7 linked regions of the Nothobranchius furzeri genome follow. The protein of the gene in region 1 interacts with the protein of each later gene in a pairwise test. Links are inferred from orthologs where the notes say so. Each region holds a gene or a part of one and is shown in the gene's direction. Other genes may lie near its edges.

Region 1 (3,440 bases):
CTCGGCGTCTGATGATGGATCGGTGATCGTCTGTCACGGGACTGTTTACAAGTAAGACCACAAACACACCCTGAAAATCTATTCATAACAAGACTTATAAAAGACAGGATATTAAAACTTGCCGCCGTCTCTTCCAGCGACCTGCTTCAGAACCCGCTGATAGTACCTGTAAAAGTTCTCAGAGGTCATGTGATCACCCACGATCTTGGTGTTCTGGACGTGATCTTTCACCCCACTCAGCCGTGGGTCTTTTCCTCAGGAGCTGACGCCACCATCCGGCTCTTCACCTAAAGTGTTTTAACCAGCAGCAGCTCTGTGTGTGTGTGGGAGGAGTCTGACCTCCCTAATGGACTGATTACCAGGATACCTTCTTCTTTTTTTTTTGTTTTGTTTTCTGTAGTTTATTTTATTGTTTTCAATAAAATGTATTTTATTGTTTTCAATAAAATATATTGTTCTTACAATTTGTCTCTGTATGTTAAAACTAGGAGAATTATTGATTCTTTTTTTAAAACCTACAAAATGTAGTTTTATTTGTCTGCCTTCATTTTAAAGGAGTTTGTGTTGCGGTTACCTTTTTGAAAAACAAGACCATTTATTACAGCTTTCAAAAAGGAAATAAAATTATCTAAAATTATCAACATAATTACAGCTCTAAAGGTTTTTTTTTTTTGTTTGTTTGTTTTGTTGCCAGAGGCAGAAATTAGGACTATCCCAAATATAAAGTATTTGTGCTTCAAATTTCATCATTATGGATATTTTTAACTTGAACCAAGTTTTTGGGTATTTTGTACAAAGCTTGTTTCTAATAGTAAAAGTATTTGTAATAACCATGTAAATGCACGACTGCGCAGGCCTGGGAATATTTGTTGTATCTGTTGTTTAACCAGGTTAAAGGCCTCTCTTAAGAATAAAATCTCTAAGAATATCAGCTTTCTTTATGTATCAGTTGTGCTGAACACAAGCGGGAACTATGTTTAACGAAAATATTCGGGTACCAGGGTCTGCAAAATGTTCTTAGAATATTTACTACAAACAATTTTCTTTATAATGAAGTTGGTGTGACAAGAGTTTTCAACCATGGGGACACATTTCGAAGTGACACCGTCGGAGCGGTTTCGGTGTAACACCGAACCGCGAGTTCTGTTACTGGTAAATCCATTCTGTTACATCATGAAAAAAACTTCAGTTTGTTGGGTTTTACATAATTATTCGTCAAATTTTGTAGCAAAAAACAAACAATTTTCTTTATAATGAAGTTGATGTGACAAGAGTTTTCAACCATGGGGACACATTTCGAAGTGACACCGTCGGAGCGGTTTCGGTGTAACACCGAACCATGAAGGCAGTAAAGGATCGAATCACACCGAGTCGTGAGTTCTGTGTTTACACCAGCTGTTACTGGTAAATCCATTCTGTTACATCATGATTAAAAAAAACTCCAGTTTGTTGGGTTTTACATAATTATTCATCAAATTTTGTAGCAAAACGCAGTTGGCTTAAATGGTAGCTGCTACATTCTTATGGATATGATTTTATTATTATTAGATTATTTTTGCTGTTTGATTAGTGATGTCTTAATTTGCTTTGCAGTGAGGAGAATGTGTGGAAGTTGTGTGAGTTTGTTCAAACAGCGAGGACTGCTCCACTGGAACAGCTCTTTGTGGTTTTCATCTCTAATGACAACAGAATGGTGAGAAGATCAGCTCTGAGAAGTTTGTCATGTGTTACAAAACCCTTTAAACATATTTAACTCAACAGATTTAGTCTCAACAGGTCTAAAGTTTAACAAATCATCACGAATCCCCTTAAATTTGCCAAGTTTGTATAAAGAATCAACATTTTCACTAAGATCTGACTTCTGCTGCTGCTGCTGATCAGTGATGTTATTTGTTCTCCTTCAGGTTCCTCTGTGGAAGCAGAAGTCTGGACACGCTGACCATCCAGTGATCTGGGTCTATGATTCTCCTTCCTGTTAAAGTGGCCTCAGAGCATTAAAATAATACATTGTTAATCATGTTTTTTTGGGTGTTTTAGGACTACCATGTGATCCTGCTTCATGTGGATCCTCAGTCGGAGGTTCTGGTTTATGATCTGGACACAGAGCTGTCATTCCCATGCAATCTGAGGCTTTATGGCAGCCAGGCCCTCCGCTCAGACCACCACATCAAACCTGAATATCACAGGTAGCACTGCTGAATTACACAGGTAATGCACTGGAGTGAAATCACCAACACCTTCTCATATCTGTGACAGGAAGTTGCGTGTGATTCCTGCTGAGAGCTTCCTCTTGAACTTTGCGTCTGATCGAACTCACATGAAGAACCCTGATGGGAGCTGGAAGAAGCCCCCTCCCTCTTACCCCCCTTTAAAGACCACTGGTAACAAATCAAGTTAATGTGGAGCATGTTTTCTGATTCCTGTCTTAGGAAAAGGTGATTTTGTACTTTTGGTGCATTTCCTCTTCAGGGTGTCAGATGAACCTGGATGACTTCATCAGCATGAGCCCAGCTGTTGGCTGGGGGACAGTTTTCAGTCTGAATCAGTTTCTACAGAAATACTTAGGTTGCTCCTCCACCACCTCTTCATCTTCATCATCAGCTCAATCCTGATCAGCATCCTGGCAGCTGCTGTTTTGTGATTAGCTTTTATGTTATTATGAACATTTAATCTGAAATGATTGAGAGACTGAGACAAACATTGAACTGAACTTTATGTTTTGGGCTGAGCTGCATCTCGTTTGACCTCTCTTGAGTTTCACCTTGGCCTCTGAAGCTCAGAGGAAACCAGAAACATGACGACGACAGCGCTTCAGCCATGTCACAGATTCATCTGGAAACTGAAGTGATCCTTCATCACACACGCCTGTGAGAACTTTGAGCATCAGCACCTTGATTTCACCTGAGTTCCTGAGAAATAAAAAGATTTTATTTAATCTTTGATCGCGTTGGATTCTCTGTCTCTGTAGCGCAATGATAGAATAAAAATTAAATGTATAATTGTAACTTTTGGTGTCAATTTGAATCTTGGTTTCCAGAATATTTTAACAATTAAAACTTGGTGAAATTATGCAGATTCTAGTTAACAGCAGATTTGTGTTTGGGTATAAGTTCTATTTACCGTTATAGATGACTGGTGGAACTTGTGCAATCACTTTCACCTGTCATATGTTTGTGTTCAGTATGGCAGGAGTGGTTAGGACACTGGTTTAAACAGGAGGATCAGGCATGTTTGGTTTCAAATTCTTTTCTGGAAGAAGCTCAGGACAGCAACATCCAGATAAAGTAAGCAACCTGTTTTATTTTATCAATCAAACAATCTTTAAGATTATTTTCTTTTGAGTTCTTTGTCCCTTTGAGAAATGCACATCTCTTTAGAACAAACATGAGCGACAACAACAACTCTGACCAGGACGGGGGTCGGCAACCAGCGGCTCTGGA
Region 2 (2,999 bases), on another chromosome or scaffold:
GCCTAACAGTTATTTAATTATCTTCCAGTGACGGGCACAAAGGTCTTCGTCATGCCTGGTGGGATGATGAAGTGCAACACAAACCTTGTGGAGCTTATTGAAAAGGTCAAGCCAGAGATCAGGACACTCATAGAGAAATGTAACACAGTAAGTCATCCGTGTCTGTCTCTTTCAATGTGTGTCCTTAAATGTCAACCTTACTGGAAAAACATTTTTTAATGATAATTCTTATTATAATTGGTCACTCTGAGATTTTTATGCAGGCGAAACATGAAAATGGTCTCCTACACCTATCTCCTGCATTAGCTTCTGATAGAAAATAGACGGTGAAACTCTAGGATTAGAAAATCCTGACAGATCTACGTCACCCTGTCACTTAACATTCATGGACTCACGACGGGGAAGGCTGTTGTTTTAGAGTCCAGGAAAGGGCAGAGAATGGCTTCGCTAGTAGAAGCTAACTGTTAGCATTAGTAACTCCACCACATTCCAGAACTCCTCCAGGCTTGTGTTATTTGTGGAGATGAAACATCAGTGTTGCTAAACAGAGTCACTGGTAGAATCGCATTGCTGTTAGCCAAAGAGATACGAGATGTCCAAGTATTTGGAAAAAAGACTCCAAATCCTGCTGTGTTCAGCTCCGCTTTGATCTGGCTCACTTCTAGATCCTGAAACAGGCACACTGGAGCTTTTTTTTCTTCAGAGCACAATTTACAAGGCATTCCTGCCTACTAGAGACCACCGCAGATGTATTAAAATATGAGTTAAGTTGATCATTTGTATATGTGTTGGTTTTACATCCTGACTAGCCACACCTCACGTATCACTGATGCTTTGTCACTCAAATTGTTTCTTTTTTCCCCGCAGGTTAAAATGTGGGTTCAGCTCCTCATCCCCAGGATAGAGGATGGCAACAACTTTGGCGTTTCAATCCAGGAGGAGACGGTAGCTGAACTCAGAACAGTCGAAGGAGAGGCTGCGTCTTACCTCGATCAGATTTCAAGGTCTGCAGAGGCTCCAAACATATGGATTTATTTCTAAACAAAGCAAAATGGTGTTGTGTATTTTTACAGTGTCCAAACGTTGTTTGATTCCTCTTTTAATCCTAGATACTACATCACAAGGGCAAAGCTGGTTTCTAAAATAGCCAAATATCCACATGTGGTAAGTAGTTATCTTAGAATGGATTCAGTTTTATTCCAAGTATTGGAAATAGAATTAATGCTAGAATGTTTAAATGTCCTAAACATTTCTCACATCATTTACGTGATTTTGGGTCCATGTCTGACTGTCGTTGAAGGCTTGATGTGATTTAAGCATTTTTTAGTCAAACTGCTGCGCCTTTCCTAACAAAGTGGTTCAAATTAGTTATGTGCCTTTGGACCACCTATAAGGTAGTTAATGTATTAAATATGTTTACCTCAGTGGTGTTGTGTGTTGCTGAAGTAAGTGCAACTCATAAAGGTTATTTTTGTGTGAAATTATTATCGTTATTAATTAAACCCTTTAGATAGCTTTCAGAACAATCTTATTGCTAAACAGGCTATATGACTAATAAGGTTTATGCCAATAGTCCTAAAACTACTCATGTTACAGCAGTTCATGCAAATGTTATTTTACTAATTCCCATACTGTCATCTGTTTTGGGCTACTTTGTTATTTTGGCATTAATTAAAAAATATCCGCCAGACCCAACCCCGTGTGTGCTGGAAGTGCTACATTTAATGCTGATTTAACAGCAATGTTTATAAATGATGTGAAAATTACAAGATTGAGAATAACCTGAAAGTCTGCTTATCTTGTTCCAAGATGCTTACGTGTGTGCAACATGTTTTCTTTCCAAGCTGTTTTTGGGATGAATGAAAAATTTGGCTATTTATACTTTTCATATTTACATATCAAGATTTCTGACCATTATCTATCTTTCATTGTGTTTACAAACCGTTTTTCTCCTTGTAATCAGGAGGACTATCGGCGCACGGTAACAGAAATTGACGAGAAGGAGTACATCAGTCTGAAGATCATAGTTTCGGAGCTCAGAAACCAATATGTGCGTTGTCTTCAATAACAGTCTAGTCATCGTGTATCTTTGTTGTCCTTAAACCTGCTTTTTCTCTCATGAAGGTAACGTTACACGACATGATACTGAAGAACATTGAGAAGATCAAGAGGCCTCGAAGCAGTAATACTGATGCATTGTACTGATGTCGGTCTCTCCTTCCCTGTCATCTCCCTGCTCTTACATGCTGGCAGCAGCCTCACCCCCATCTGCAGGAAAACTAGACATTCACACACTTCAACACACTTCAACACAGTCGACTCAGCCCAGTATGAAAACATAGCTTCATAGATGGACACCTTTTTGTTTTAATTGTAAATGTGTTTTTGTTTTAATTCCTTCAAAAACGTTAAAGTTCTCTCAGAAAATGGGACAGTAAACTATAGGCAACATAAAGCACGATGTATTTTTTAATTTTAATTAAACATCTTGTCTCCAGATCCTTTGTGACATTTCTTCTTTTGTAGCTGATATTTTGTGGAATATGAATTGGTCTCATTGAACCTTTTCTGGATCTGGATGATGCTGGTAAGTTTGACATGAAATTACCGGTAAACAAAAACCTGTTGTTCTCTGAATGTTGTACATTATTACATTGTGTAGGTGTCAGGTCAGACGTTTTAGATTTGTGGGCTTAACGGTTTTCAGTGAAAATGCATAAGTCAGCATTGGTTCTATTGAATAAAACCATTTTTGATACAACGGTTTTTATCTGTTGCTTACCAGACAGACATCTGATCATAGGATGACAAGTAGTTATAATAAATTATTTTTACTAATTATACAGCCACCTATCAGAGGGTTATAGCTCCGCCTCTTCCTGGACTACATCACATTTGTAAAACTAACCTTTATCTTTCATTTTTTTCTACAAGAATATGGTTCACACAGTCATGTTTTCCCCCCACAAACACGGGATGTTTGAATGCCTTTAGTTGTG
Region 3 (3,512 bases), on another chromosome or scaffold:
CCAAAGTATTTAATAATTTTTAGTGACATTCTCCATCTTTCACTTGTACTGTTTTTATTAAATAACTCAGAATGAGTCATCCCCTACCAGATTCTTACTCCACTCCCACTTCCTGTTTGAAAAATGCAACAAATGCTGTAGCCTAGCAGACCGAGAGGGCGGAGCCGCTAACAAATACACACACAGGCTCACAACTACATTGTGATAATGCTGCACTATAGAAAATGGGTTGAAATATAACATGTTGGTGGAGCTGGGTTCCGACTATCGGCTTGTGGAGCTCTAGGGAGACCGATGTTTTCCACCCGTTTTTCCCCTCCCCGCAGCTCTGCGCATCTCTGTCTAATCGCGGCTTCTGTCTGCTGCGTGGGCTGCTGGCTTCCAGCAGCTTTCGGGAGACCTCTGTGTTCCACCCGGTTTTACCCAGCGGTCAGCCCGGCGTATCTCTGACTCAGAAGCTCTGGTGTTGTGCACAATTAACTCCGGTTGTAGCTAGGTTGCTACCTCCGTTAGCTTAGCTCCCACCTCTGCGTTAGCTTTGGGTTAGCTTGTAGCTAGTTCGACCGGGTGTCGTCAGTTGATCCCAGCCTTACAGCCACACCCTCAGCTCCACCTCTCTTCCCTTTTGTAGAATTGTCTGGGCTTGAAGGAACCTGTGACACGGTCAAAATGGCGGTGGTGGCCACCTCCCATTTTTGCACAAAAACGTGTTATTGGAGCCTATGGAAATGAATTGTCCAGTATATATGTAGATGGTCAGAACATATTTGCTTTTGTAAATGTGTAAAGAAGGGATTTACCAATCTGGTGCCCACAGGCCTTTTCTCCAAACCTGCTGCCATCTTTTAAAATCGCAAATGCATTATTATAGATTTAAAACCTACATGTTTCTTTACAAATATTTAAATATGTTTATAGTAAATACATTTTAGTTTAACTCTGATCTATTCTAGTTCAAAGGTTATATATTTGTATATTATTATGTACTTTTTTAATCAATACAAAGAAAAAGGTACTTCAAAAACAAAAAAACCGACAAAAAAGTTAAAAACAAACTTTGATAAATTGCAATTAAAAAAGTTCTTAACAACAAAAGTGCAAACTTCCCTTAAAATGTTTATGTTTCTATTAAAGACCAGCTTTCTGATCCAATCAATGATTTAGATTTGGATTTGGGTTAGGGTTAGGCTTAGGATTTCTTTTTAATCCAAAATTCACAAATTTTCACTATTGTATCAAACTTGGTTAACGCTCAGTCACAACCCTGAAAGTAGCTCTCAGCTTCAGGTTGGTGACCTAATGTGGCCTAAAAATTTGTTGCCATGTGTCCTCCAGGATGAGAGGTGGCGCTGTGGTCAATTAGTTTTTCATTTTTAAGGAGGAGGAAGAGGTCATTCTCGTGGCTTCTTTACGATCTGGAAAGAGACGAAGAACGTCTGCAGCTTGAGCTGGAGAGAAGAAATAAAAAGCAATCATGCCGATGTTTGTGGTGAACACCAACGTGGCTAAAAGCAACGTGCCTGCGGCTCTGCTGTCCGAGGCTACGGAGGAGTTAGCTAAAGCGATGGGTAAACCTGCTCAGGTAGGTCAGGAAGATGTTCCTTCAGACCATTATAACCCTGCAGATCATTTACCATGATGCATTTGATTATATATGGAACGATATATATACTAAATCACATCAGTACCATACTAAATAATATCCATTATGAAAGAATGTTTGTCAAAATGCTAATATAACATTAGAGATTACCTGCAGGGACGGAAGCGGCTCATCAGTTTGGATCAGTTTGCATAGTTGAAAATAATTACATGAATTAATCTGGATTATATATCACTGGTCCAAATTTCCCAGATGCAAGATGGATAAAGTGAATTACAAAGAATAAATAAAATTACTTCAGAGTGGGATGAGCATTAAAAAAACACCTAAACTCAAAAGGATAAAGAACATAATAACATAAAATAGTTTTAAAGTAAACGAAAATAAACACTAATAGAAAAGAAAATCCCTCCTTTTTTTGAGGCAATGTTTTTGCCACATCCACAACAGGAGAAAAATAAAGACTAAGATTAAAATAAACACCAAAACAACTCAACACAGAAATACTTAAAGGTTCAAAAATCTAAATATTAATTATAAAGAAATCTTAAGAAAAAAAATAAAATTCTGAGGGAAACGATAGCAAAGTACAGTATAACATTTTTAAAGCAAGATTTTGAATGACAGACTTCAACAAAGCTAAATCTACAGAAAAGTGAATGTTACAAATAGCGCTGTTGTAAATCTTTCAATATAAAAGACTAAATTCCATCAATATGGAAAAAAATTGTACAGACAAATATTTTTGGAGACTTATTAGTAAAGGTACAATGGAAAAATATTTGTCTTTGCTTCAAGAACTGTTGACTTGTTCACTCACTTAGGTTTGACACTTAATATTGCTTTTTTCCCTTCATCTTTCTTCAGTACATTGCTGTGAATATTAACCCTGACCAAATGATGATGTTTGGTGGAAAGGGAGACCCCTGCGCTCTGTGCTCCCTCCACAGCATCGGCAAGATCAGTGGCGCCCAGAACAAGCAGTACTCAAAACTACTGTGTGGGTTGCTCAACAAACACCTGGGAGTCTCCGCTGACAGGTAACAGTAGCCCATCAGCATGCTGATCCTCTTTGTAGGACTTGATCAAACACACAACCTCTATTCATTGCTCATTAACCTCTTTCTTCTGGTGTCTGTTTTAGAATTTATATCAATTTTGTGGACATGGATGCAGCCAATGTGGCCTGGAACAACACCACTTTTGGCTAGGATGGAGGTCAAGACTGAAATAAAAGATCATTCCAGTGTTTTCCTACTTGTATTAGGGTAAATAAAGCAAAGAGCTGAGACACTTTGTTATCCAGGTAATACTGTAGGGGTACCTTAAATGCACTTGATTGGACCCCCTTGCTATGTACTGACCCTTTTGCAATTAAACGAATAAAGAAAATCACGTGAAACAATTAATGAATATCTTCTGTTTGGGTCAGTAAGCCCTCCTATTCAGAAACTTTATCATATTTAAAGGACCTGCATGCAGCTATTTCACACCTTACAGAGCAATAGTAGGCACACTATATGATAAATATTACCATTGGCATTATTGAGATGTCATTTTTGTGAAATGGAAGTTATTTTCACAACCCACTCTTTCAAACATTCAACAATGGATTTTGCATGATATAGGACCTTTAAAAGGGACTTTACGGAGTTTTGAATGTTTATGCTCGCGATTGCCCCCTCAGGCCAAAAGCGTGACGGCAGCTTCAATAGTAGGCTCATGCACGAGGTGCGCATGCTGTACGTGCACACTCCTTAACGAAAATAACAGCTGAGACAGTCCCGTGTGTGTGTGTGTGTGGCCCGGATGACAGAGGACAGGAGAACGCGTAGCCAATTAATTAAATAATTTGGTTCTGTACCTTTCTCTTCAGCACAGCCGACAAAGGTTTAAGATGGGTCAGTCC
Region 4 (3,500 bases), on another chromosome or scaffold:
AAGACTGAGGGAAGTACTCACACATACACACGCTGACACACATAAACTCACACCTACATACACTGAACTGGGGAATGGACATGCATACACACACACACACAAACACCGAACAGGGGCAGGACATGCACACACACACACACACACACACACACACACACACACACACACACACACACACACACACACACACACACAAACACACACTTACACTAAGTTGAGGACAAAGAGGCTGGAGCTGACTTGGGAGAAATGATCTTAAAAGGGTAACAACATAAGACACTTTAACTGAGATGCAGACAAAAGACACATGTGGGCGCTATGAGACACAGAAGAGAATCTAGAGAGGGATGGAGAAACATCAGGAGACACATGAAGGAAGACGCAGATGCAGACCATGACAGATCCCAGCTGGACTTTTATAGACTTTCACCAAATTTTGAGAAATCTCAAACTGAACTCAGAATAGCAGGTTCACTGAGAATCAAACCTTTTTACTATTTTTGATGTATGATCGGTCCCTCTGAGCTTCTCATGCTGGCTGAACATGAAATAGTCTCCTACACCTATCTCCTGCAGTAGCTTCTGATAGAAAACAGAAGGTGAAACTCTAGGATTAGAAAATCCTGACCTACGCCACACTGTCACTAAAATACATGGACTCACCCATCATGGAGATAGTGCTAGGTAGGTAGAGCGGGCTGTCCAGTAATCAGAAGGTTGCAGGTTCAACCCCGGCTCCCACCAGAGAATGCTGCTCTTGTGTCCTTGGGCAAGACACAACCCAGCTTGCCTGCTGGTGGTGGTCGGAGGGACTGGTGGCATCTGAGTTCAGCAGCCTCGCCTCTGTCAGCACGCCCCAGAGCAGCTGTAGCTACATTGTAGCTCATCCTCACCACCGTGTGAATGACTGATTGTGTTGTGAAGCGCCTTGGGGGTTATAGAAGCCTAACAAGGCGCTGTACAAATACAGTCCATTTACCATCTTGGCTCACAACGGGGAAGGCTGTTGTTGGTTTAGCGTCCAGGCAACAGCAGAGAACGCCTCAGCCAGTAGAAGCTATTGCTAGCATTAGCATCTCCACCACACAGCAGAACTCCTCCATGCTTGTGTTATTTGTGGAGATAAAACAGAGTCGTGTTGCTGTTAGCCAATCAGAGGTGCAGTTGTTGATTAAATGTTAAAATGTTTCACATCATACGTGTGTGTGTGTGTGTGTGTGTGTGTGTGTGTGTGTGTGTGTGTGTGTGTGTGTGTGTGTGTGTGTGTGTGTGTGTGTGTGTGTGTGTGTGTGTGTGTGTGTGTGTGTGTGTGTGTGTGAGGTCCTGTACCTGAGCTAAAGCAGCTGGTTTAACCGATGGACACACATGGCTGCACCTGGAAGGCTGCGTGTCGGAAACATACGATGGCTTAATCCTAAATCAGGTTTCCCATGCAGATGAACTTTACTCCTTATAGCGTGAAACCCAAGAAAGGCCAGAGCGTCTCTTTATTTTGGAGCTCTTTGGACACAATGAGTTTCCAGTGACGTGGGCTCGTGACGTCCCACGGCGCCCCGCTCAGGTATTTTGGGAACTGAAAAGCTGCCTTTGTGCTGCTCCCAGGATGACCTGCTGAAAATATACCCACAAGGGCTGAAGCTACTGGATTTGTAGGTTTTATTCCTGTTGTAATTCCTGAGTTTTATTTTGAAAGAACAAACACAGCTGAAATGATTTGTGGAAGAATGATGAAAAGCCCTTTTCTTTTGTCAGGTTCTTCACAGGAGATAAAGTGAATTAGGCCTCTGGTCCGGTTGTGGTTCCTCTCTGGTTGATCAGACTCATTAGGTTGCTGGTGGCTCAGGTAGCTGTAGTTTACTGTTATTGGTATAAAATGCGTCATGCTTTCAGAGCTCACCTCTTCCTCGGCAGCAAGAAGTGGCTTCCTGCTGCCTCTTTGCGGCTGACACTTTGACATTCTGTAGGAAGTTGCTGAAATGAGACTTGACTTGAAATAATGACGATGTGTCTCTGTTTTGGTGGGACAGGCAGAAGCAGCTCTGAGCCAGTGGAGGACACGGACACCACCAGCTTTATGACAGAGATTGTAAGAAACCACTTCCTAATTCTCTCCTCCAGCCTTGACTTTGACATCTGCTCACTGTTCCAACTTGCTGATTGTCCAGTTTAATGATTTTTTTTTTTGTTCGTGATTAGAAAGCCCTGTAATCTGAGTAAAGTGCCAGAACCAAGCAGGCCGTGCTGTGATTGTGAGCGCTGAAGGGCTCGTTTCAGAGCAAGTCGAGGCAGGCTGTTCTCCGTGTCTGCAAACACGAGAGGCGTTTAGTGCCTGGGCTGCAGGCCGGGTCCACAGAGCTTCACACAAAGCAAACAGGCCTCTTCACTAACCTCGCCTTTGTCTCTTCCACAGTCGTTGGAGGCCAATTATCCTGTTCAAGTCACAGATCCTCACGGTAATACGACTCTCTGCTTCAGGGTCAAGCAGAAGGCTGCTTAGCTGCTAGTGACGCGACAGCAAAATGCTAAATATTAGGAAAGTTTCTTTCTACATCGATGTGAAACATGAGATCAAAGTTGCTTTTCTGACTTTGTTTCAAAGTCTGTGTGTTTTAGCCAGTTTTAAGAAAGTTTCTGTTAAAACTTTATAAATGATTTCACCCCTAGATGAACAGCCTCAGTCTGGAGAAATAGTCTGTGTGTTCCTGACACCTCAACGCTGTTCATTCATCAGAGCCCTGCAGGTCTTAACATAACACATTTATTCTTATGTAGTTTGGCGCATATCAGTTAATTATAATTTAACTTTCTTAGATGTTAAAGTCAGATTTTCTCGTGACAAAAAGTGATTTTAACGATGTAGGAAACAGGAAGAGTTAATAGGAAGTCCACTCTTCATACAAACCGTGCCAACTTTATTAATAAAACACACAGAAGCAAAGTGCTGCACACTAACTTCACATCAGCACATTTAAACATGTATGCTTTCACATGAAAGTGAAGCCTGTTTCATCTTATTACCACCCAGCCTGAGGGGAAAAGTTCATAAAACAACATCCCATAATGCGCTGTGATGTTCTGGAGCGGTTTTAAGACGACAGCAACAGAGGCTGTTCAGGAAGTTGTCTCAAACATGCGAGATAATAATTATTTATGACTTTTGGAGAGAAAAACACTCCAGAAAAGCCCAAAACTCCTTTAACCACAGAAATCAAATGTTTTCTGTTTTTATCAGGTTAGGATAAAGTTGAGTTAGTTTAAAGTGAAACACTAATCAGGATGGACGAGAAGTGGAGATAAACTTTAAACCCCAAACAAGCAACATAGCTGAAGGAAACGTTAAAACCAACACAAGTGAGAAAAAGCTGCTGTGTTGTTTTAGACAAGCTGGGACTGGTTTTTCATCAGAGCTGACGGTAATGATCCTCCTGCAGATGCTGTGACGCTCCACCTCAGCTCCATGCCCTCCAGATACCTGAGCCCCTCCTCTGAAGACAGGATAA
Region 5 (4,280 bases), on another chromosome or scaffold:
CGAGGACGCGCGGGAGGCATCATATTTCTGGGAAAAAAACGCGTCTCGCTCTTTGGGGAGCGCGCACGCACACTCACGCACTGTGTACGTCATCGCCCCGGCTGCCGGTGAATTTGGCAAGCTGTTTTAACATTTAATATAATTACATTTAAAAAGTAATTTGAACGTCAGTGTAAATATTTCTGTCAAAATGACAATCTGAATTATAAAATCAAAACCAATGATAACCAAAACTGTCACAATATTAAAATTGTGTCTCAAGTTTTCCATAACTGAGACTTTGTCAGGGAAAACAAACTTTTGAAGCAAATTATGTCAGCTTTCCATTAATTTATATTAGGTTATCCCCTTCAGATGTGGCAAACATATCTGTCCATGTCTTTGTCTAGTTCATATTTCCACTGCACAAGTGAGTTGACATTTGAGTTCATCTTTTTAAATGGCACTTTGGTCACAAATAGCATTTTACTTCTACACTGTGCATAGAAATGAGTAACATGTCATAACATTTGACATTGTTTTATTAAATTGTTCTGCATTTCTACTGCATTACTGTTCTTTTTAACACAGCAAGTGTTATTTTACCTTGTTTTTGCATCAGGTAACAACATCGAGTAACAACATCAGGTAATAACATCAAGTAACAACATCAAGTAACTACACCATATAACAACATCCGGTAACAACATCGGGTAACAACATCAGGTAACAACATTAAGTAACAACATCAAATAATAACATCATGTAACAACATCTGGTAACAACATAATGTAACATCATCATGTAACAACATCTGGTAACAACATCAGGTAACATCATCATGTAACAATATCAAGTAACAACATCAGGTAACAACATAATGTAACATCATCATGTAACAACATCAAGTAACAACATCAGGTAACAACATAATGTAACATCATCAGGTAACAACATCAAATAACATCACGTAACATCATGTAACATCATCAGGTACCAGCATCAGGTAACATCAGGTGACATTAAGTAACAACATTATACAACATCTTGTAACAACATCAGGTAACAACATTATGTACTATCATCATGCAATAACATCAGGTACCAACATCAAGTAACATCATGTAACAAAATCAAGTAACAACATCATGTCTGAACATCAGGTAACAACGTCATGTAACAACATATAGTCATGTAACAACATATACTACAACAGCAACAACAACCACAGACTAAAGGCTATTCATTTTACTACGAACAAGTGAATTCTGGATTTTTGTTTGAAAGTTCGTGTCCAACTATTATATGATACATCTGCTTGCCAACTATGTTGTTGGTGGCGCTACTGTGACCCACTGCAGTTTAGTCAACGTTAAATTGTTGGTGTTCAAAGATCGTTCTGGGACATAATATGAGATAATTTTGATATTTTGAACAGACCCGTCCCCGCGGAGGCCGTGTGTTGGTGTGACCTGACGGAGGTCATGATGGATTAGGGCGGTTTGAACTGAGACTTTGGTGCTGCTACAGTTAGTTAGCAAAACAACTTAGCTAGACGTTTTGACTCTGCCCTGCAGGTATAATGCAAATTCTTGCCAAGTTCTTGTGTGTGTGTCGCTTCTTGTTTTGTCTCCCTCTGGCCTACAGGCCGCTTTTGTAGCTGCTGTTTTCTGAAGTTGTGTGGCGTTGGCGTTAGCCGTCAGCTGTTGTTCAGTGCTGCTTTTAGCTCATGTGTAGCTATAGTTATTGCCTCCCAGTGGTGGAAAAAGTGTTAGGATCTTTTCACGGTAAGTTTCATCACCACGATCAAATAAAAATCCTGGTTCTAACTAAATGTACTTGTAGTTTCAAACATGGGTTTTTGTTTGACAAATACGTTTGTTTTATTCTTTTTTTTTTTGTCTGGTTTTAATCAACATATCAGCTTTTAAATACCTAAGGATGGATAATACCTGTTTGTGGACTCTTCCACTGACAGATGTGACATTATTTGATGTCTTTCCTTGTTTTTTTCTTCCAAAACAAAACAACAAACCAATACACACACATCTAATGATTTCTACAGATTCATCAAAAATGTTTTTTCAGTAGTCATGATGGTTCCTGAATAATCTTTAACTAATGAGCCAATGCTAAAGTTTTTATTATTATTATTAATCCAATAATCCGGTGCTTCCTGTCTCTGTTCCTGTTCCCAGATGGCATTGTGGTCTGCAAGAATTCCGTTTATTTGTCTTGATGTATTTATTTTAGGTTCCTGTGGGAGTTTGAGATCTATGACGGATCCTCCAAACAGCATGGCTCCCAAAGACATCATGACAAATTCCCATGCTAAATCCATCCTCAATGCAATGAATTCACTCCGCAAGAGTAACACACTCTGCGACATCACTCTGAGGGTGGACAACGCGGATTTTCCTGCTCACCGGATCGTCTTGGCTGCTTGCAGCGACTACTTTTGTGCCATGTTCACCAGTGAGGTAGAACTTTCTTTTCAGGACTAAAATGTACAAAACAGTTTTTTTTTTAAATATTCACAATTTGGGGGCATTTCCCCTGTTTGGGTTAACTATTACTTGTAACTTAAATGGATGTGTGTGGATTTTATACTGGATGTACAACAAATTTTTCAAATCATTTGATGGGAAATAAAAAGAAAACCTAAATTTATTTTAGGAAGAGGTTCTGTTAAGTACAGTTGTATTGTAGGAACACATGAGTTCATCCCAACATTTGAGACTTTATTTAATATTTACATAATATTAGTTTTACTTCCAACATGCTTCATAAGTAAGAGATGCTGCAGAACAGCACCCTCAGCATCCATGTGTTATTCTGACATGAGATCTTTCAAATCCAACAGATCTTTTTACTTAGTGAGTAAATAACAGAAGTCTACATTTTACCGTTGTGTGTGAGCCAAACAAAACAAAACTTCGGACGTTTGGAAGCCGCACAATGACAGGCCTACAAATATGGTTTCATTTGCAGGTCTTTTAATAATGGTTTATTTTGTTATTTAATGCTTTCACTGGGGATAAAGCTTGTTTTGTTGCTATAACAGGCTGAAATATGTAGACATTTTGACCTGGAACAGCTTGCTCCAATGTGTTAAGACAGTTATTTCTAACTCACAACCAGAGAGGGCTACTTCATCAGAAATCAGGTCAGTCTTGCTTGCAACTGATTCAAAAGTAAACAGCACATCAATAAGTTTTAATCATCCAAGAGTCACAGCAATGCTACTAAATGAAGAAAACGGGCGTAACACAGGAATTTCTCCCATTTTCATCGTATTCATCTTATCTGGAGAAAACAAAGCTTACGTTCTTTAGATAATAAGTTGTTGTCATCATTAGAAAATGAGCACAGCACTTTTTCAGATAACTGAACAGTCGACTCTTGATCTGAAGGAAATCCCATCAGACCTAAAAATAGCTGCTATCTGCTTCCATGCTAAGTGTTTAACTTTTCATGAAGCTGCATTTGCAACCATTGCATCTAACTGAATGAAAACACTGTTTGCTGCTCCATTTATAAACGTTTTTACCAGCTGATGTTAATAGATTCTGTTTTACTTGGATCCATCTCTTAGTTAACAAGATACTTTAATTATTCTGCTCCAACCTGGAGGGAGTGTTTCACCTTTATACGGTTGAGAACAATGACATCGGTCTTAGAGGAGCTGATTCTCATCCCAGCCCTCGGCCCCCAGCTGTGAAGCATGCTAGTGCACGCTAAAGATCATAGCCTGAAGATGCTAACAGAACCACATCATCTGCTGTCACCTAAAGCAGAGATGAGACCCAAACCACTCGACTGCGATGTGAGCTTCCGTTCATGAAGATTGCTGACAGGATCAGACACCAGTCCTGGTGGAGTCTAGCTACTCAGGCAGCGAGTCTTTATCATGCTGCATCATCAGAGATCCTGCTGCAGGGTGTCATTCAGGACGTGCCTTTTATTGGCAGGTTTGATAACTTGTTTTCAGAGCTGTCAGCTTGTGGGTGGATTGTTCAGACTAACACTGGACCTAAAAATCCCTCCTAGACACATTTGAACATACTAACTGTTGCAGGATGGATCTCTCCTCAGAGACAGTGTTTGTTTAACGGAAACCCTTTTGCCCCTCTAAATGCCGATATAATTACAGGGCATAAATATCCTTGTAAGGGAACAAAATCAGAAAAATGCATCTGGAGTTTTTTTTCTCTCTTTTCTACCTTAGAGCAGGGACTCCCTAAGTGTGGTGCGCGAGCTGCCGCTAGGGGGTGCGCGAGGTGAAAAGTGTAATGGCTGCG
Region 6 (3,500 bases), on another chromosome or scaffold:
TTCGGGAGGTTTTGACAAAAAAAAAACAGAGATATAATTAAAACATTCATGACTAAGATATGACAATAAAATGTGCACGGCTGTTTCAAACCGTTTGCAGTTGCATCCAGTTCTGCATGGGACAGAGCCGTGGATAAAAGCTGCTGCAAAGATGTCCATTAGAACTGTTCTGAGCACGTTTGCGTTGAGTTTTGCATTTTTGTCTCCCCGACTAGTTGCAGCCAAACGAGAAACGGACCTAAAGACTTGTTGAGACATTTACCCAGTGTTGTAAATATGTCAACTTCACTTTCTACCTTTGTGTGATCATTGGAATTACATAAGGAGTTAGTAGGTCAGGTCCTGTGACTCTGTAATGATATTAGTACCACTTAATGACAGAACACTGACAGCATTGTAGTTATGTAAGTGACACATTTCACTCGTGCATTGTGCATCAACAATTATTCAGGGCTACGGTTTGTCTTTGTTTACAAGATGGCTCCAAAACTTTGCAGACTTTTCAAAAGTTCATAATGTTTATATGTTTTGCAGATGTTTGGTTATAAATCTGCTTTCTGGTGTTGGTCTGCAGCTTTTCTGACTCGTTATTCCGTCTTGTAGAAATCACGTTGACCAGAGTTGCTGTTTTTGCAGATTTTGTGCGACCTGCTTTCTCCAGCTGATGAGAACGTGAAAGTCGGCCTGAGAGAAACGACGCAGAGCACGCTGCCTCACCTACGCACTAAAACTCTTGTAGAAAATGCTTCCGTGGAGCCACAGAGCCCGGTTCAGAGACGGCACCGGCACCGGGTCTGCGCCGCCTCTGCCCACCACACAGACAGCCAGGAGGTACCTGCATGGTGAACTCTTCAGTCACAGGTTATTCAGTCAGACTAATCCAGTGACACCCCCACCACTTTCTCATGTCGTTGTTCAGAAACGGTGCGAAAGCCCAGAGCGCCCCGGTCTGAGCCGAGCCCAGTCGCTGCGAATGCACGGCTCCAGCAGTATGGAAGAAGGGCTAAAGAGAGTTAGTTCAGCTCCTCAGCTGGGCGATCAAGACAAGGGAAGCCTGCTGAAGAGGAAGCTGTCTGTGTCGGACGTGGAGGCCTACCTGGTGGACAGTGGGAGTAGCAAATATAAAAAACAAGGTCAGCTCCCGGCCTTCACCGTCACTCCTAACGGCACAATAATGAGATTAATCCTTAATCTTTGCTTCTGGATGACTTCAGGTTGGACAAAAGGCTCCAAACACCAAACAGCCAAAGCGAAACCCTGCAGACAAGTTCCCGAGGATCTGCTGGACCCCAACGACTTGGAGTGTTCCCTCTGCATGAGGTAAGGTCACCCCAGAGAGCCACCGCACGTGTAAACCTGTCCGATGAGCCAGCTGATCGTTACATCTCACTGACCAACACAGATTGTTTTATGAGCCGGTGTCTACACCGTGTGGCCACACGTTCTGTAAAAACTGCCTGGAGCGCTGCTTGGACCACACCCCCCAGTGTCCCCTCTGCAAGGAGAGTCTGAAAGAGGTAAGACGGTTCCACTCCTGAGAAATCAGCCTCCTCATTCACACCGCCACTCCTTTGTGACATTAATTCTGGTGTTTTCAGTATCTAGCATTCAGGAAGTACACAGTGACAGCAGTGTTGGACACGCTAATTAAGCAGCACCTGAGGCATGAGCATGAAGAGAGGTTTAAAACCCACCTGGAGGAGAACCAGGAGCTTTCCGAGTAAGCAGCCTTTCTTTTCCTTACCGGTGTGCAGAAGATTCTCAACCAGTCTAAATAATCCACCTTTCTGTTCCTCTCTGCAGCCTGATGAAGAATGTGCCTGTTTTTGTTTGTACCATGGCTTACCCAACTGTGCCTTGTCCTCTGCACGTCTTTGAGCCTCGTTATCGCCTCATGATTCGCCGCTGCATGGACACGGGCACGCAGCAGTTTGGGATGTGCATTAGTGAGCCTGAAAAGGGGTGAGCATGCTAACATACACACGTGTGCATATGCTCTGTCCTTGTAGTAATAACTCTGGACGCAGAGCAGTTGCAGACTGATCTGTTAGTAAAAGGAGCGTTTATGTTCATGTTGCAGGTTTGCAGATTATGGCTGCATGCTGATCATCAGGAGCGTCCATTTCCTCCCTGACGGACGATCTGTGGTCGATACCGTCGGAGGAAAAAGGTTCCGAGTCTTGACCAGAGGAATGAAGGATGGCTACAACACTGCAGACATCGAACACTTGGAGGACAACAGGGTGAGAACCACCTTAACATTATGTTACGGGCATCCCTGAGTGCCTCTAAAGAAACCGACGTCATTACAACTTATTCTAATAAATCAGATAAATAAATGTATCCAGTTAAGACTCTGATGAAGTGATGATCTGTCAGGTGGTGGACAGAGAAGTCCTGGAAAAGCTACAAGATCTGCACGACGCCGTGTACGAACAGGCCCAGGTCTGGTTCCAGAACCTGAAGATCCGCTTCCACAATCAGATTCTGCAGCACTTTGGACCAATGCCAGAGCGAGAAGCTGACATCCAGGTACAGGAACGGTTTGTGGAGGAGGTTTAAACGACACAAATAATGTGTTTGAAGTGTTAGAGAGGTCACGTTGGCAGAATATCAGCAATCTTAAGGGTTTAAATTACTTTCACCAAAATGTGTGTGTGTGCGCGCGTGCGTGCGTGCGTGCGCGCGCACGCATAGACCATATTGGAGATGGGCCAAACCATTTTTGTGCTGTGGGGGGTTCCTGTCCACTGTATCAAGCACAATTAGGAATCACTTTATCCATTTTATGGATTTTAATGGAAAAACCCAAAAGTGACCAAGATGGCTGCTGCAGCTAATCAGCCGTTAGCAAAGCGGACGCAAAGAACAGCTACCAACATTTCAACACTCGGTGTGTCGTCATCAGAGTTAATGTGAACACTTAGAGGAAGGTAACCATGCTCAGGTGTGCTTATTGGTCAGGAACAAACAAGGTGTTACCTGCACATTACCTACCTCAGCTGTAACTAGATTACCCTATTTTCCGGAGTATAAGTCGCATCAGCCATAAAATGTATAATGAAGAAGAAGAAAAAACATATATAAGTCGCACTGGACTATAAGTTGCATTTTGGGGGGAAATTTTATTATTTTTCTTACAAAATTTGAGACCAAGCGTTTCACATTGCAAGACAAGTACCGGTAACAATAACAGGATAAAGAATCAGGGCGCAGCAGCGCGCCACGGTCTCCACCAGAGGATGGCGGTGTTTCAAACCCTCCCAGCAGGCAGGTAGAGCGCCCGCACCACCCCGCCACAGGCTGCAGCAGGTGATGGCGGTGTTTGAAACCCTCCCAGTGGGGCAGAGGAGCTGAAACCTGGACCGGAGCCGGCCCGCAGCAGCGCGGTTTACATAATTTGGCATATAAGTCACTTTGTTAAGTCGCAGGACCAGCCAGACTATGAAAAAAAGTGCGACTTATAGTCCAGAAAATACGGTATTTACTTCTTGTTTTAT
Region 7 (4,085 bases), on another chromosome or scaffold:
CTCTTTTGCCCCGCAGGCCCCTTTGCCTTCTGCAAGGGATTCTGGAGTTGAATTTTAAAAACTATGTATGGCTGCTGCCTGCGCTTATCAGCGCGTGCACAAGTGGCATGCAAATCAAACGAGGATCACACACCCGCATTGGAGGCCTACACTCAAAGGCAAGCTTAATTGCTAATTGGGTATCTAGGTGTGAAACCCACATTGCCAATGAGAGGGAGGAACGTGGATGTTTTAAGGCCAGTGGTTGAACTAATTAATTTTAATCTGACTATTATTAAAAACTGCAAATTCTCTGCATTTTCTGTGGGGGAAACAGCCCAAGAGAGTGCTGTGGAAGGAGTTTTAACTGCAGTTGGACATGTCGTGGTTGGGATTTTATACCGCGTGATATCATCAGTGTAGATGTGTGATAGCGATGTGGTGATTAGAAACAGGGGCTGAAGAGCTAAACTGTGGCCAATAGCGCCAACAAGTGGGAGCCAGAGGGAGGCATTAACACACCTTCAGAGTTACTGCCCCATCCCTGTTCAGAATGTTCATTTACATCTATTGATTTATGCTTATGTTGCTTATTTACTGCAACCAATTTCTATGTATTAGAAGAACTATTTCTTTGTTTATAATGCTTTTTGACCATTATTCTTCAATCATTGTAAAGCCCGACCTTTACTCCTGGGTTTAATTAATAAGATTTGTGCAGCCATGAAATTAGCAAAACAACCAAAGGAGTGGGTAGAGCCTCCAAAAGTGTGTCTTAAAACTCCTCTGCAATAAATTCACTCTCATTTTAAAATGTTTGATGCACTGGAATATTGCATTCGGTAATAATGAACAAAACACCAAAATATAGTTTATGTTTAAATCTTATTCACTGTGAGGGTCATTGCAGCACGTGGAAAACCAAATTGAAGCTATTCCTAGTCACATTTAGCTGTGGAATGGCATCCCCTTCCTTAACCTGGAGCTTGTGTTTCTGGTAACAGCTTGCTGCTCAAATACCATCAAAAGACTCCTGCAGAGGATTCTGTCACTTTTTTTCTCTTTGCACAAACATGTCTTGCAGTGATGCTCTTTCCACAGATGCATGATCCTAACACAATTTCTAGTGATAATAAAGTAAAATAAATAAATAAATAAACCCACTATTCCTTATTTTTGTGCTGTTTATATGACAATATTGTAATTAAACAATCAAAAACATGTATGGGTGTTCATGTGCCACCCCCATTGCCGCCCCCATAACTACCAATTTGAAATTTGTCAATGCTTGCCAATGATTGTAGCTCTTAAGTGTCACTTTAAAAAAAATCAACATTGTTGTTATTGTGGGGCAGAAGGTTTCCTCTGATCTGTTTTTCAGAGCTGATTTGGACTGATTGAGAGAATAGGTGCTGTTTGATTGCCATGTTGTAGATATTTGTTTGATCCAGAGGGTGTGTGTTGGCCACAGCGTTTGGGTTGGTCACTGTTGAGCTTGTTTGGTGCTTTGAAAGAGGTTTTGACCCGCTAAACCAAACAGCTGCTGAACAAGGGGCATCAGATGTGATGAGGGGAGGAAGAGGAGGTGACCGCTGTTGCGCCTCCTAAAGAGGGCAAAGGCCAGCTGCGGTTGCGTCCAGATGTGCGCGGCAGCAGCAGCAGCATCACAACGTTTATCTAGTCGGGCTGGGTTTGTTTTACTCTGAAAATGCGACACACATACGTGCCAGTGAAACAGCGACAGCCCAAAAGAGCCTCGGGCGCCACAATGCTAACGTTGTCTGGGGCTTTGACTTCTCCCAGCCAGTGTGAAGAAGCTGCTCCGCGCGACAGTCACGGCGCTCCTCCGCCGCTCTTCCTCTCGCTCTCTCCCGCTATTCACGCTTTTTTCCTCCGTCCTACATTCTTTTTTTCCCTCTGTTAGAATAAACGGTCCCAACTCTCTCTCTCTCTCTCTCTCTCTCTCTCTCTCTCTCTCTCTCTCTCTCTCTCTCTCTCTCTCTCTCTCTCTCTCTCTCTCTCTCTCTGCGTCGATCGCCCTCTGAACCTTTAACGCGTGAGCATGATGGACGAAACGGATATCATGGATCTTACGCATCAGAAAGCGAAGAAGCGACCGCGTCCAATCAGTTCGGTGGATGAGTCCGTGCATGCGTCGCTCAAGCGGCTCCCGATGCGAGCGGCGGAGTGCAGGGAGCCCTCACTGATGTTCGCTGTCAGAGGAGAGCCGGTCCCCGCTGCGTCTCTGAAGCAGAATGATCACTCGGTGGCTTCCTCTCCAACCACAGTTATGCCAGCACAGGTAATACTAATAATGGAAATACTAAAAAACGATGTTTTCTTATACAAGTTAGAATTATTATTTTTTTATTTTAATTGCCTTCTTTCCATCATTTGTGCGCATATTTTTTTGCATAATATTGCCTTACTGACTTTTCTGCTCTTTCCTGATTTAATTTTTCGTTTTTCCGTTTTAGATGCACTGTTTTTTTTCCCCCTTTCACTCAAAAGTTTGAAACTTTTTTGGGGGGAGAAACAGCTATTCAGTCGCAGCTTATAAGAAAATTGTGTTTGTAGGTTAATATGAGACTGATTTTCCCACCAAATCCTATTATGGTATTCAAATCAAGAGTCATTATTGCTCACTTCCAAGAGAGATTGATGCTCCAAATTAATTTGGTTTTGGAGATTATGGCCCACAGGAGGTAGATGCTTGTAGACTGTGGCAACATTCAGGTCAAGGTCAGGCTGCTTCTATCCTGTTGGAAGAAAATCCTCCAACCCTGGCTGTGGAGTGGGAAGAAACAGATTTTTGCATCTGCAGTGTTTTAATTCTGTCGTCATTTTGAATTTATCTTTTCTTTTTTTTATGCTTTTCTAGGATAATCGCTCCAGCATGTCCAGACCCATGATTACGCGGTCACCAGTGTCTCCTTTGAGTAACCAGGGCATCCCCACACCTGCACAGCTCACCAAGTCCAATGCCCCTGTGCACATTGATGTGGGCGGACACATGTACACCAGCAGTTTGGCCACCCTGACCAAATTCCCAGAGTCTCGGTGGGTCTTACTTGCTCGATTTTCTGAAAAAACTCTCTGCAGTTTTAGGCTAAATGTGTTTAGCAGTGTCACGATTTCCTCAGAGTTTAATGTCAGCGTGTTTGATGTCATTATGCGACAGTCAAATGTCACAACCCTTCAAATCTCACAAACACACTTGGAACAGATAGAGATTTAGTGTCAGGTACTTATTTTTTTAAGCACTCAGGTGCATCAAAGCACTTCTTCTGGTGAAGTCGGCAGTTATTTTAAGGGGTAAACAATCCTGTGAGAACACAAAGTGCAGAATGCAGAGCCCAGACAAAAGCAACTTGCTTATTCTGACAGATGTCACGGCAGCAGCAAAGAGCCAAAGGGCATGGAGCCATCTGGAGGCCGGGAGGCCACGCTGTCGCTCCGAGAGCAGGCCTCAGGGTGACAGGCACCCGGCCTCGGGCAACCCAGCACCAGCTGGACCTGACCTCTCCACTCCACCTCTGATTTTAATCCTTTCTTTTCTTTCTTTTTCATGCACATATATTACTCAGCCTTTCTCTCTTTTTGTCTAAGCCTCCTTGTAGAGTCCATCACTACAGTTTGTGCTTTAATAAATCAAAATCTTAATCTCAACATGTTGTTCTCCCACCTCTCTCCCTCTCCTCCTCCGTCCTCCCCCTCCCGCTGTAGAATTGGTCGTCTCTTTGATGGCACGGAGCCTATAGTCCTGGACAGCCTGAAGCAGCACTACTTCATTGACAGGGATGGACACATGTTCCGCTACATTCTCAACTTCCTCAGGACGTCCAAGCTCCTGATTCCAGACGACTTCAAAGTGAGTGGGTGACCATCCTAGAAACTGTAAAGTGCCATCAGCTAGTCAGCAGTCCTGCAACTTAGCTCACACAATAGATGCTAAGGCTATAGATCGCCTTTGGTCATCGGTCTTCGTTGAGATGGTGAAAACCATTCTGGAGATAAAATATCAAGAATCTAACAAAAGAAATGTTGAATTTTGGTGACACCAGTGAGCATTTTTGCAGGTAATCACGTGCATTGACTGTATGGCA

What was found.
Region 2: the proteins of ntaq1 (region 1) and psme3 interact in binary tests that used the Homo sapiens proteins (3 or more experiments, as listed by UniProt). The two-hybrid records come from large-scale screens. The link is inferred for Nothobranchius furzeri from reciprocal best matches to the Homo sapiens genes NTAQ1 and PSME3.
Region 3: the proteins of ntaq1 (region 1) and mif interact in binary tests that used the Homo sapiens proteins (3 or more experiments, as listed by UniProt). The two-hybrid records come from large-scale screens. The link is inferred for Nothobranchius furzeri from reciprocal best matches to the Homo sapiens genes NTAQ1 and MIF.
Region 4: the proteins of ntaq1 (region 1) and edaradd interact in binary tests that used the Homo sapiens proteins (3 or more experiments, as listed by UniProt). The two-hybrid records come from large-scale screens. The link is inferred for Nothobranchius furzeri from reciprocal best matches to the Homo sapiens genes NTAQ1 and EDARADD.
Region 5: the proteins of ntaq1 (region 1) and kelch-like protein 12 interact in binary tests that used the Homo sapiens proteins (3 or more experiments, as listed by UniProt). The two-hybrid records come from large-scale screens. The link is inferred for Nothobranchius furzeri from reciprocal best matches to the Homo sapiens genes NTAQ1 and KLHL12.
Region 6: the proteins of ntaq1 (region 1) and lonrf1 interact in binary tests that used the Homo sapiens proteins (3 or more experiments, as listed by UniProt). The two-hybrid records come from large-scale screens. The link is inferred for Nothobranchius furzeri from reciprocal best matches to the Homo sapiens genes NTAQ1 and LONRF1.
Region 7: the proteins of ntaq1 (region 1) and kctd1 interact in binary tests that used the Homo sapiens proteins (3 or more experiments, as listed by UniProt). The two-hybrid records come from large-scale screens. The link is inferred for Nothobranchius furzeri from reciprocal best matches to the Homo sapiens genes NTAQ1 and KCTD1.

The regions. Positions count from the first base shown.
Region 1 is NC_091759.1:9,346,730-9,350,169, forward strand, and holds ntaq1 (protein N-terminal glutamine amidohydrolase), read left to right. Parts: upstream 1-1,245; 5' UTR 1,246-1,339; coding exon 1,340-1,404; intron 1,405-1,593; coding exon 1,594-1,693; intron 1,694-1,904; coding exon 1,905-1,955; intron 1,956-2,037; coding exon 2,038-2,186; intron 2,187-2,256; coding exon 2,257-2,381; intron 2,382-2,469; coding exon 2,470-2,612; 3' UTR 2,613-2,940; downstream 2,941-3,440. Other genes in the region: ribosome biogenesis protein bop1, read left to right, coding at 1-51, 138-291. UniProt on the Homo sapiens protein: Mediates the side-chain deamidation of N-terminal glutamine residues to glutamate, an important step in N-end rule pathway of protein degradation.
Region 2 is NC_091756.1:48,472,636-48,475,634, reverse strand, and holds the end of psme3 (proteasome activator complex subunit 3), read left to right. Parts: intron 1-28; coding exon 29-147; intron 148-867; coding exon 868-1,004; intron 1,005-1,109; coding exon 1,110-1,164; intron 1,165-1,963; coding exon 1,964-2,050; intron 2,051-2,124; coding exon 2,125-2,205; 3' UTR 2,206-2,499; downstream 2,500-2,999. UniProt on the Homo sapiens protein: Subunit of the 11S REG-gamma (also called PA28-gamma) proteasome regulator, a doughnut-shaped homoheptamer which associates with the proteasome. 11S REG-gamma activates the trypsin-like catalytic subunit of the proteasome but inhibits the chymotrypsin-like and postglutamyl-preferring (PGPH) subunits.
Region 3 is NC_091741.1:91,262,145-91,265,656, reverse strand, and holds mif (macrophage migration inhibitory factor), read left to right. Parts: upstream 1-1,364; 5' UTR 1,365-1,474; coding exon 1,475-1,582; intron 1,583-2,470; coding exon 2,471-2,643; intron 2,644-2,747; coding exon 2,748-2,814; 3' UTR 2,815-3,012; downstream 3,013-3,512.
Region 4 is NC_091752.1:9,549,922-9,553,421, forward strand, and holds part of edaradd (ectodysplasin-A receptor-associated adapter protein), read left to right. Parts: intron 1-1,752; exon of another isoform or gene 1,753-1,843; intron 1,844-2,027; coding exon 2,028-2,086; intron 2,087-2,410; coding exon 2,411-2,453; intron 2,454-3,431; coding exon 3,432-3,500. UniProt on the Homo sapiens protein: Adapter protein that interacts with EDAR DEATH domain and couples the receptor to EDA signaling pathway during morphogenesis of ectodermal organs. Mediates the activation of NF-kappa-B.
Region 5 is NC_091755.1:52,045,803-52,050,082, reverse strand, and holds the start of kelch-like protein 12, read left to right. Parts: upstream 1-1,480; 5' UTR 1,481-1,556; exon of another isoform or gene 1,557-1,626; 5' UTR 1,627-1,708; coding exon 1,709-1,766; intron 1,767-2,232; coding exon 2,233-2,459; intron 2,460-4,280. UniProt on the Homo sapiens protein: Substrate-specific adapter of a BCR (BTB-CUL3-RBX1) E3 ubiquitin ligase complex that acts as a negative regulator of Wnt signaling pathway and ER-Golgi transport.
Region 6 is NC_091746.1:77,560,115-77,563,614, reverse strand, and holds part of lonrf1 (LON peptidase N-terminal domain and RING finger protein 1), read left to right. Parts: intron 1-636; coding exon 637-831; intron 832-919; coding exon 920-1,320; intron 1,321-1,402; coding exon 1,403-1,517; intron 1,518-1,598; coding exon 1,599-1,720; intron 1,721-1,803; coding exon 1,804-1,962; intron 1,963-2,080; coding exon 2,081-2,243; intron 2,244-2,379; coding exon 2,380-2,532; intron 2,533-3,500.
Region 7 is NC_091751.1:52,385,324-52,389,408, forward strand, and holds the start of kctd1 (BTB/POZ domain-containing protein KCTD1), read left to right. Parts: upstream 1-1,285; 5' UTR 1,286-2,041; coding exon 2,042-2,281; intron 2,282-2,860; coding exon 2,861-3,039; intron 3,040-3,705; coding exon 3,706-3,850; intron 3,851-4,085. UniProt on the Homo sapiens protein: May repress the transcriptional activity of AP-2 family members, including TFAP2A, TFAP2B and TFAP2C to various extent.